Ovis aries: one gene and its partners. The protein of the gene in region 2 interacts with the protein of the main gene of each other region in a pairwise test. Links are inferred from orthologs where the notes say so. Each region holds a gene or a part of one and is shown on either strand. Other genes may lie near its edges. The genes, in order: ANXA10, EDC3 and DCP1A.

Evidence for each region.
Region 1: the proteins of EDC3 (region 2) and ANXA10 interact in binary tests that used the Homo sapiens proteins (3 or more experiments, as listed by UniProt). The link is inferred for Ovis aries from reciprocal best matches to the Homo sapiens genes EDC3 and ANXA10.
Region 3: the proteins of EDC3 (region 2) and DCP1A interact in binary tests that used the Homo sapiens proteins (3 or more experiments, as listed by UniProt). The two-hybrid records come from large-scale screens. The link is inferred for Ovis aries from reciprocal best matches to the Homo sapiens genes EDC3 and DCP1A.

The regions. Positions count from the first base shown.
Region 1 is NC_056055.1:112,562,909-112,567,106, forward strand, and holds the start of ANXA10 (annexin A10), read right to left. Parts: upstream 2,931-4,198; 5' UTR 2,771-2,930; coding exon 2,753-2,770; intron 1-2,752.
Region 2 is NC_056071.1:31,677,811-31,681,462, reverse strand, and holds part of EDC3 (enhancer of mRNA-decapping protein 3), read right to left. Parts: intron 725-3,652; coding exon 405-724; intron 1-404. UniProt on the Homo sapiens protein: Binds single-stranded RNA. Involved in the process of mRNA degradation and in the positive regulation of mRNA decapping. May play a role in spermiogenesis and oogenesis.
Region 3 is NC_056072.1:47,774,369-47,778,020, reverse strand, and holds part of DCP1A (mRNA-decapping enzyme 1A), read right to left. Parts: intron 1,834-3,652; coding exon 1,695-1,833; intron 1-1,694. UniProt on the Homo sapiens protein: Necessary for the degradation of mRNAs, both in normal mRNA turnover and in nonsense-mediated mRNA decay. Removes the 7-methyl guanine cap structure from mRNA molecules, yielding a 5'-phosphorylated mRNA fragment and 7m-GDP.

The DNA of each region.
Region 1 (4,198 bases), on a different chromosome or scaffold from region 2:
GAAATAGGAAAGTTGTCAAAAGGAAAGGAAAAGGACTAAAATTTCCTTTGAGGCAAAAAGGAAGAGTGTTACCAAATAAAGGAGTCTATAATAAATAAAATGCTACTGTACAAAATGATGGAGGAGGAAGTGATAACCCAGTCCACTGTTCTTGCCTTGGAAAGCTCGTGGACAGAGGAGCCTGGTGGGCTACCGTCCATGGAGTCAGAGAAGAGTCAGGTATGGCTAACTGACTGAGCACACATACAAAAAGGGGAAATCAGTCGATGACAAAACCGGACAAAAACAGCCAACAGTTTTGGTAGAAGAATCAGGGCGATGTATGTGGAAGAGACAGTGTTTTTCTGTGGATAAGAGCTTGAGTTACAGCGACAGAGAGACCTGGTTTAGATACTGATTTGGGCATGTTTTTGGTAACGCTCTGCAGTGAAATTTCTTCCACTCCAAGACATACCACCTTCCTGACGGGTGATTTATATCTGGCTAAGTAGTGAATCAAAACAATTCCAGGCTTGCCAACATCATTTCATTAAATCTTGCTTTTAACAGTTTTATAGTCAAGCACACCTGTAAAATACTCACAGGAAGGTGAATTTACCTTCTTGATGTAACTAACCCACTTGAATTACTTTAATCCCTGAGGGTCATCTAACTCCAAAATTCTGGAAAGTAATTTTCAAGGAGTGAATATGCTTCTTTCCTATAGAAATATAACTGCTTTTCTCTAATTCTTGCCTCTTGCTTGATTTCTGTTTAAATTTTCTATGTTTTGTAACTGGCATAATGCATTATTTTGGTGTTTATACCAAGGGGGTGAATTCAGGTGTCATTCAATCAGAGCTGCTGAGAAGAAGGCTCAGTCGATAATTTAACTTTAGTTAAAACTTAATAGTTTAATAAGCAACCCAGTCAGTAACTATCTCCCCTATGACTTGAGGACTTTTACTTATTGTGCAAAAGCCTGCCTTTTGCTGAAGGACACACACCCAGAATGGAGACTAAACAGGTGAACTTGACCTCATATATTGGCCTCTTTAATATCCAATTCTTCCCAGTTAGTCCATAAATCTTAAGGATATATATATAACTGGATTTATAAATGTATATCCTAAAGAATATAAATATGAAAATATAACATGATTATGTAAAACCCTTTATCATCAAAATTTTCTGAGATAACTCATAAAACCTAATATTTATCTCTGAAATAGATGATCAGAACACTTAAAATGAAAGTTTAGGTCTGCTGAAATCCAACTCTTTAATCTCTGATTATCTACAGAAGCATGGCAAACCACTGCATTTCTTTAAAAGCTTGTTATCATTGGTAACTTTTAGTAGTCTCTGAAATGTAATTTAAATATTTTATGAATATATCTTTTGATAGATTGGCATAAAATATTAATATAAAACCATATGTACCACACAGAATATAGTTTTAATTACTCCCGAATAATTGTACTTGAATGAAAAAAAGGGAGAAAATTTCTAGTCATCCACATACAATTATTTGAAAGTAATAATTGGGAGAAAATAACTTCTTTTACAAATTAAATCATTTACTGTGCTGGCCTAAATTATGTAACAACTTCTGTTTCTATAGTAGAATGTAACTGCCTTACAATTAATAAGATGATAAAGGAAGTTTCACCTGCAAATAAGATCCTGAAATCTCAAGATAAAATTAAGATTCATGAACCAACAGTGATGGAAAGTAGCTACTTTTTCGGTTCCATTCAATACTTAATTTGAAAAGCAATATAAGTAAATAAAAATTTCTAGGGATTAATATTTTGTAAATAGGTAAATAACATCATATTTGTGCCAAAGTTTAACCAAATAATTGTTTTCTTTTCCTGCATAAAATTTTTGCACTAAAATAAAAGGCTTCTGGAAAGAATTTTTAATGATACACATTTTTAGAAAATCCTCAACAAAAGTATATATAATTTCCAAGGCTGTGTGAAGTGGATATCTTTTCAAATGATGTATATTTAAATAACTCAGTGTCTCTATAGGCTCTTCCAAAGTTCATGGACTGTTAGAGTAATTGGATCAAAGTGACCCAGACAAGGAAAAAAATAAAATGACTAAACTAAGTCTTACATTTGTTTAAATTATGTATACTATCATGTAAGAAACGAATCGCCAGTCTATGTTCGATGCAGGATACAGGATGCTTGGGGCTGGTGCATGGGGATGATCCAGAGAGATGATATGGGGTGGGAGGTGGGAGGGGAGTTCATGTCTGGGGACTCATGTACACTCGTGGTGGATTCATGTCAATGTATGGCAAAACCAATACAGTATTGTAAAGTAAAATAAAGTAAAAATAAAAATTAAAAAAAACAACAACAACTATATTTTCTGAACATACCATAGATTTTAAATAAAAATTAGCAATCAGGCTTACTTTTAGTTTCTTATAGAGAGAAATAAGTATGGAGACAAAAATAGCTTATTACTACTTCAGTTAGAATTCTGAGTCAGGTAACTTTAGAAAGTAGGGATCACTGAATTGCCTCTAGAGAACAATACATTATTTCAAAACTAGCACGAATTTGATATTTAATAACACAGACTTTGTTTAATAGTTACATTGGACACCTACTCATTAACACTTTAATGAAGATAAATCAAAACACCAATATTTCTTGTTGAAAATGTCAAGAACCACAAATGAAATTTTGTAAACAAGGTTTACACATCTCAAAAAACTATAAAGTTTTATGGAAATCGCCATTATACTCACATAGTCTCCGCAAAACATTTTGATGATAATGTTTAACTTCAGGGCAGATCAAAAGGTGTTTAGTGTGTGGTCAGTTGAATAGACTTGTTTCACCGTGTCCCTAGAAAGAACTCAAGTTCACCGTTCAATCCAACTTAAGTGTGTCCACTGTCCACTTTGGTTTCTCAAGCAAGAAAACAGAGGGTCAGTTATGGACAAGCGTTTATTAATATACTGAGCCACCAGTCACAGGCAGAATTAATGCACAAAACAAACAGAATCGGTAGCTTAGCCCCTGGCTCTGTGTTGATTTAAGAAACATTAATTATCAAACCAATCAAAGCAGTGTAATCTTTTGAGAAAGCTGGTGACTTATGGAAAGTGGGTTGATTAACCACGTAGTTAATGATTTATTTTCTGCTCTGTTGTTTTTAACACTCAGACTTTTTCAGTTCCTCCAGCCTCTAGCTTCATGCTTCACATGGCTAGGTTTTATATGCATCTATACCATTCACTTGGAGAAGGAAATGGCAACCCGCTCCAGCATTCTTCCCTGGAAAATCCCGTGGATGGAGGAGCCTGGCAGGGCTACGGTCAATGGGGTCGCGAAGAGTTCCACACGACTGAGTGACTAACACACATACCATTCACTAAATATGTTAAACTGTTATGTGTCTTATGTTAAAAAATAGTTTATTTAGGAAAGAAATGATTACCCATCAGGAGAAGTTTTGGATAAGTCATATACGTGCACCATCATTTGTACACTTGTGCTTCCCTCAGAGCTCAGTTTGTAAAGAATCTACCTGCAATGCAGGAGTCCCCGGTTTGATTCCTGGGTCAGGAAGATCTGATGGAGAAGGGATAGGCTACCCAATCTGGTATTCTTGGGCTTCCTTTGTGGCTCAGCTGGTAAAGAATCTGCCTGCAGTTTGGGAGAACTGGGCTTAATCCCTGGAGAAGAGAAAGGCTACCCACTACAGTATTCTGGCCTGGAAAATTCCATGTATAATCCATGGGGTCACAAAGAGTCACACGTGACTGAGTGACTTTCACTTTCACTTATACACTTTCATATGTATATACATTATTTTAGGATTTAGCCTTATTACATTTTGAGGAAACATTTTAAAATCAGCTTCAAAGTCCAACATATTGCTAGGAAATACCTGTAAGCATATGTTTCATACATGATTTCCCCCAAATCACAAAATAAATGTGTATTACAGCATTTTACTGCTACTTGCCACTTAGTGAACAACCCAGTGTTCATTTGTTGTTGTTGTGAGTCAGTCACCAAGTCCTGTCTGGCTCTTCGAGACCCCATGGACTGCAGCATGCCAGGCTTCCCTGTCCCCTGCCATCTCCTGGAGTTTACCCAAGTTCATGTATATTGCATCAGAGATGCCAGCCAACCATCTCATTCTCTGTCACCCCCTTCTCCTTCTGCCTTCAACCTTTCCTAGC
Region 2 (3,652 bases):
CTCTAACTGAGGATGGGAGGTAAACCATAAGAACTAAACGTATTCAAGAATCCCCTAGAACAGCCTGAATGCAGGTTCAACTCAGACATCACTACTACCACCATTTACCAGATCAAAAACATCACTTCTGTCTATGTGAACTCGAGCCAGATCACTGACATTTTTTGAAGGAAAGGAAATGTTGGGAGAGGGCAAGGAGCAGGTGTGAACCTCAACAGCTTATTTCCTTTCCCTTTAACATCTTGAGGAAATACCACTGGAATAAAAGAACCATGCTATATTTTTGCGAAACCCTGCCAGGATCTTTTTTATTAGAGTAATAAAGGACTTATTTAAAGAACAGCAGTGGATAAGTGGACATGAAACATCAAGCTAAGAAAACACATTAACTTAATCCAACTTACAAGAGTTGTGCCGACGACGGAAGCTCTTGGACTGACTCAAGGATTCCGTGTGCCTGTCCACGTAGCTCTTTGAGCACTGTTGCTGCTGGGGAGAGATGGCAACATCTTGGCTCTTCACATCTGTCCTCTTGGGGATGTTCTGAGGGACACTGCTCGAAGAGGCTGGCTTCTTGACCAACTTGCCTGTGCCATTTTGATTGATACCAACTTGGCAACCAACACCAGAGGAGCCTAATTCTGTCTGATGAAGATCTCCAAAATGCTGGGTTTCTCCAGGGCCTGGTATCTCCAGAATTTTTAATTCTGTAATGTCACCTGCCCTGAAATACATAAAAGAGTCCAAGTCTCAAAACTAAAATAGTGATAACGGTGATGAAACTGAGATTATCAGCAACAAGCCACACCTTTGGAGGGCTTCATTTCAATGAGTCATCAAAGGCAAAACCTAAAAAAGATGGTGGCGTACTTAAAGACAAGACTTAGCCACCAACATTCAATGGACACAGCACTGACCTTTAAAAGAGACCTATTGTTATAACATATACTAATGCATGTATATGGAATCTAGAAAGATGGAACTGATGAACCTATCTGCAGAGCAGCAACGGAGACACAGACATTGAGAACAGGCAATATGGATACGGCTGAGGCGGGGAGGGAGGAGGGTGTGATGTATGGAGAGAGTAACATGGAAACATACATTACCATATGTAAAACAGAGAGCCAATGGGATTGTGCTGAATGACTCAGGGAACTCAAACCGGGCTCCGTAACAACGAGAGGGGTGGGATGGGGAGGGAAGTCGGTGGGAGGTGCAAGTGGGAGGGGACATAGGTAAACCTACGGCTGATTTATGTTGACATTTGGTAAAAACCAACACAATACTGTAAAGCAATTATCCTTCAATTAAAAATAAATAAATTTTTTAGAAAAGAAACAAAAAATAAATTAAAAGCTTAGAAAAGGAAAACAAAAAAGAGACCTATTGTTAAGGGAGTCGGAGACGGATGGACTGGGCATTTCAGGTTAGTAGATACGAACTGTTAAATATGGATGGACGGACAACAAGGTCCTACTGTATAGCACAGGGAACTATAGTCAACATCCTGGGATAAACCATAATAGAAAAGAACATAGAAAAGAATGTGTGTGTGTTACTGAGTCACTTCGCTGTACAGCAGAAATTAACACAACACTGCAAATCAACTATACTTCAATAAAGAGACCTATTGTTCATCATAAAACCATCATTAATATCTTAGATTTCTAGAATGCTTAATGGCTTTTTTCATTCATTTACCTACCTGCTCACTCAAAAGGTATACACAGGGTACTTACTATGTGGTAACCCCCGTAGTAGAAGTGGGGTATATAAAGACGAAAAGTAATATATGCTCACACAGAACTCGAAGTCTGTTCAGCAGAAAATTCAAGTAGGTAATCAAAAGTGTTGAATACTATGACAGAGGTGTGTACTGGGGACTAGAGCCTCCCAGAGCAAAATACATGTTAGTCTGGTAGAGATGGATGAAGCACTTAAGCCAAGTCTGGTTGGGGAGGGAAAATAAGAGTTGGCCAAGCAGAGTATGGGAGGGAAAGGGGCACCTTAAGCCAAGGCTCAGAGACTGAGGCCATGTGAGGAACTGCAAAAGTTACTGTTGTTAGCGTAAATGTTATAGTGTTACTAAAGAGACAAATGCTTATAGAGGGCCATCAGGAGGTAAGGCTGAAGAGAAGATTAGGGATCAGATCATAATCACACTGGGTTTTTCTGGTGTCTATAAGAACAGTGAAGAAACTAGAGGCAGGGGCACCAGTTAGGAGATGAGGCAGAAATAAGAGGGGATGTATAAGACCATGGCATCTGGTCCCATCACTTCATGGGAAATAGATGGGGAAACAGTGGAAACAGTGTTAGACTTAATTTTGGGGGGCTCCAAAATCACTGCAGATGGTGACTGCAGCCATGAAATTAAAAGACGATTACTCCTTGGAAGAACAGTTATGACCAACCTAGATAGCATATTGAAAAGCAGAGACATTACTTTGCCAACAAAGGTCTGTCTAGTCAAGGCTATGGTTTTTCCAGTGGTCATGTATGGATGTGAGAGTTGGACTGTGAAGAAAGCTGAGCGCTGAAGAATTGATGCTTTTGAACTGTGGTGTTGGAGAAGACTCTTGAGAGTCCCTTGGACTGCAAGAAGATCCAACCAGTACATTCTAAAGGAGATCAGTCCTGGGATTTCTTTGGAGGGAATGATGCTGAAGCTGAAACTCCAGTACTCTGGCCACCTGATGCGAAGAGTTGACTCATTGGAAAAGACCCTGATGCTGGGAGGGATTGGGGGCAGGAGGAGAAGGGGACTGAAAGGTCGGGCAAGGTCGGGCATGTTGAGGCATGCCTGGACATGTTGAGGCATGCCCAGGCGTGCTGAGGCATGCCCCGGAAAAGTGCCACAGACAAGTCCCGGAGGTGGGCCAACAACCAAGCCGTCCAATCAGGTGCCGACACGGAGCCTTTGGACACCAACCACCGCTGAGCCCACGCTTTCTTCCTTATATGGGAGCCCGGCCCTGGCTATAAAACCCTTCTCCACCCCTCATACCTCGCAGACTCCCTTTGCTTCCTTGCTCACCCGCCCCCTGGAGTTCTGCCCGAGAGCGACCGCCCAATAAAGGCCCTGATCAACGGTCCATAGGGGTGGCTCTTTCTTCCTGCTGCGTTTCTTACAGGGACGACTGAGGATGAGATGGCTGGATGGCATCACTGACTCAACGGACATGAATCTGAGTGGACATTGGGAGTTGGTGATGGACAGGGAGGCCTGGCGTGCTGCGATTCATGGGGTCGCAGAGTCGGACACGACTGAGCGACTGAACTGAACTGATACAGCAAGTGACAATGCAAAGAGAGAAAGGAGGATGGAACCAAAAAAACATTTGGAATCCAAAGAATTTGGTGACTAACTGAACATGAAGATCAAGAGAACAAAGAATTCATTATGATTCCTAAGTTTCTAACCTGGGTGAAAGGTGTCCTTAGTCAGGGAAATACAGTGGACTAGTGGCAAATGCAAGGTGTGTGCGCTAAGGGGAGGAGTGTTTTTACTATGGGAGAGGCCTGGGAAAGTTAGAAAGTGATGAGAAGAGAGACAGTATAAAGGTTCAAAGTGAAGACACAAAAGAAAAGGGGTAGGGTCTCAAAGGATACAGAAAACGCTAACACAAAGCATATGTGATAAGGTTAG
Region 3 (3,652 bases), on a different chromosome or scaffold from region 2:
GTGTTCATAACAACTGTTATTTTTATAACCCCTTTAAGGACAAGCAAACAGCATTACTTTATTATATATTCTTTTCCACTTTTTTTTAAGTTAATATATGGTAAAATTAACTTTTGAAATGTATCACCAGGCTTCCCTGGTGGCTCATACTGTAAAGAATCTGCTTGTAATGCAGGAGACCCTGGTTCGATCCCTGGATTGGGAATATCCCCTGGAGAAGGAAATGGCAATCCACTCCAGTAATTCTTGCCTGGAGAATTCCATGGACAGGGGAGCCTGGAGGGCTACCATTTCTTTCACTTTCAAAATTAACTTTTGAAATGTATAGTTTTGTGTACCCACAAATCAGGATATCCGACCTCCCCAAACTCCCTTGTGCTATCCCAATGCAGTCGTGCCCTCCTTCCACTCCTGGCAACCAGTGACTCTTCTCTGGCACTAGTTCCGTCTTTTCGAGATTGTCATCTAAATGGAATGGTGGCTTCCTTAACTTAGCAAATGCCTTTGAGATTCATCCAAGCTGTTGCATAGATGAATCTGGCAATCTCCCAAGTCTCTACCTAGAGATAAAGGGTCTATTTGGAACCATCTGAGGCAGAGAAGAAATCATCCAAACACTAAGACGTGAACTCATGGGCCGCTGCTAAGACTAACACCATATGATTAGATGACAGGCGAGTGTAGACAAGCAACAATACTCCTGTTTAAGGAAGTGCCACCTATTTATGGATGGCTTCAAAAATAGAAAGAACACATTATGAAGGAAATATCAAAGATTTAACTAACTCCCCAAAGGTTTAGTCTTAATCCAACCACAGAAATTTTATTCACTCCATACCATATCAGAATTCCCTTACAACAGTAGTTACTGCGCTGTCCATACTGTCTACCTTTGCAACGTGCATTGACCAGAATTCATGTCAGATTTTTACACTGCTCATGTGACCTAGAGCTCCTCTGCAGCTCTGCACACAGAAACAAGGCTTCAGCTCTTTCTTCCCCCTGGAGAGGACTTGCTCCCCAGCCTGAGGAGGAAGGCGGGCCCCTCCTGGAGCCTCTGCTCTAGTGCGCAGCTCCCGCACTTTTTGTCCTGTGTGGCACCTTGACCTCGTCCTCACTGGGAATGGGTGACAGAGCTCTCAACTTACTAGCTGTTACCACAACACCGAAAGGGCTCTATAAAAACAGAAGGAATCTATGTAGATAACCCGTATCTCATTAAGGGTATGGGAGGGAATTTATGGTAATACATGGTAACTTAAAAGCTCAGAAATGGTTCTTGAAATTTATTTACTTCATCCAGTTTCCTAAGAATCAATGAATTCATTATAGAAATGACTGCCTTTTATGTATTAACTTTCACAGATCCATAAATTCTTTGTAATTCTCTAAGACAGACATTGAGGAATCTGTTAGAACTTTAAACATCTCATGGGTTCTAATGTACATTTCTTTACCCAGGAAGTGGGACCTTTTATTTTCCAAAATCCTTTTCTCCCACAGTAATTTTTAAGGAACAGAAAAAGAACACTTTGAATTTTCAGAGGTAAGAACATCCCCTTCCTTATCTATAAGACAGGTCTTCTTTCTGAACTACTTATTCCCACTGGCCCTGGAGGTGACCTCCCCAGTCCACCAGACCCGCCACCGGTCTCCTCCCTGCTCTGGTTCTCCTGCTCAGCGCACAGCCTCACCCTCTCGTACTCATCCTTGGCTCTGCTTAGCATCTCCAGGATGTCGATGGGCCTGTGGTCACTGCAGCCGTTGGCCTGGTTGGGACTCTGCTTATCCCGAGCTGCTTGCTGGGACCGCCGTGTCTCCTCTTCTACCACGCTGGAGGAAGAGAACCAAGTTTTAGAAAGACCTTTTTTGACACAATATGACCCAAGATTTTGGCGTCCATCTTCCAAGGATACTGGAAGACTGCCTCATGGTAACAATGCCTTCCTCACAATACAGAATAGAGCCTCGCTACCTCATCCCAGTAAGACATGACTGACTACTTTCACCATCTCACTCACAACAGTACCAACCAATATAGTTCACTGTTAGAAGGCCAAAAATACAGAATTCCTTTCCAGATTTGGTAGAAGTAGATACTTTTAAAATCTACTAAATTACACATTATTTCTCTCTCTTTCCTACATTATCTCAGGATCAGTCAAACTACCTGGTAATAAAGTAAATCTGAAAATGGACAATGCCACCAAGACAAAGGAAAGCTGTTCAGGTGAACCACTCCTATGGAGAGGGTATATTAATAATGGGGAGCAAGGAAAAAGCTTAGCATCTTGAAAATGAAGATCTTGGTGAATTTTCAAAAATCAGCAATAACTCTACAAGCAAACAAAAGATTTTCCTTGTTGTCTCCTTAAAAAAATCACTAAGTGGGTAACTAAGGTCAGGGTGATTGTGGCAACGTTCTTTATTTTGACTAGTGTTACTTAAGCTAATTTTGCACTTGAAAATATATATTAAAAAAAGCATGAAAGTCAAGGTCTAAGTCAAGGGCTGCGGTCTGCAAATGTATCTGAGAGGTTTAATTTCTTAGGAACATGCTCTCTCCCTGCCACATCTTAAAGTCTGAAGCAAAATGTGAAAAACTAAAAGTTGCCTGGGGAGCACATGAATGTTTTACTGCTTCTTATATTTTTCTTAAAGCTTGAAATTAATGTAACAAAATAAGATAATGAATCTTTTTTCTTTTAAACATCCATTCAGGTTTCAAGTCCAACTGTAATGAACAGGCCTACTTGCCATGGGATAGTATAGGCACAGTCACAACTTGATAATTGAATTAATTTGAAAACTTTCAGACAGTGATGATGACAGGTAATAAAACAATTCAATAGTAAAAGGCTTTTTTTTTTTTATGGACTAAGAGGCATAGAACAGGGTACCCAATGTCAGTTTACTGCTTTAAAACAGCCTGCCTAGGAACTCCTATTAGTGTGTGTGTGATGGTTCTTTTATTTGAAAACATCGGATTAAACAATATTAAACACAGATTAAAAAAAAAAAAAAACAACAGCAACATTATTCTGAGTTTTTAACAAGCTACAATGTATTATGCTTCTCCAAGGATGGGTTTAAAGCTTTCTCCAAACTGGGAAGTCCCTGGTGGTCCAGTAGTTAGAACCCCACGCTTTCACTGGCAAGGGCCTGGGGTTCAATCACTGGTGGGGGAACTAAGATCCTACAAACTTAGTGATGCAGCCAAAAACCAAAAAATGCTTATTATTTAATACTCAGTTGTAGGCCACACCAACCATCAAGGACCGGTCAAACAGCCCGTGTCTACCCATCACCTGCTACACTGTCTGGCTTACCCATGCTAGTATTCACCTCTCTCTGACCTGGACTGGATTTGTGATCTTCATTCAAAAGAAAAACATTTCTAATAATCACCACTGTTCATCCACCCAAAGGACTACCTTATAAAACTGCTGAGAGCAGAAACTGGCTGGCGGCATGGAAGGCACACCCAGCTCTGGACTCTAAGGCCTCTTCCAATCACACTCTGGGAAGAACAGCCCCGCCCCTCTCCCTTCCTCTCAAACCCCCAAGTATGCCCCAAGACTATTTGTAAGATCAGGAATAGGGCTCACTTCTATGAGTTCTCCAAATTTTATAGTCTATGTATGGGCAAGCA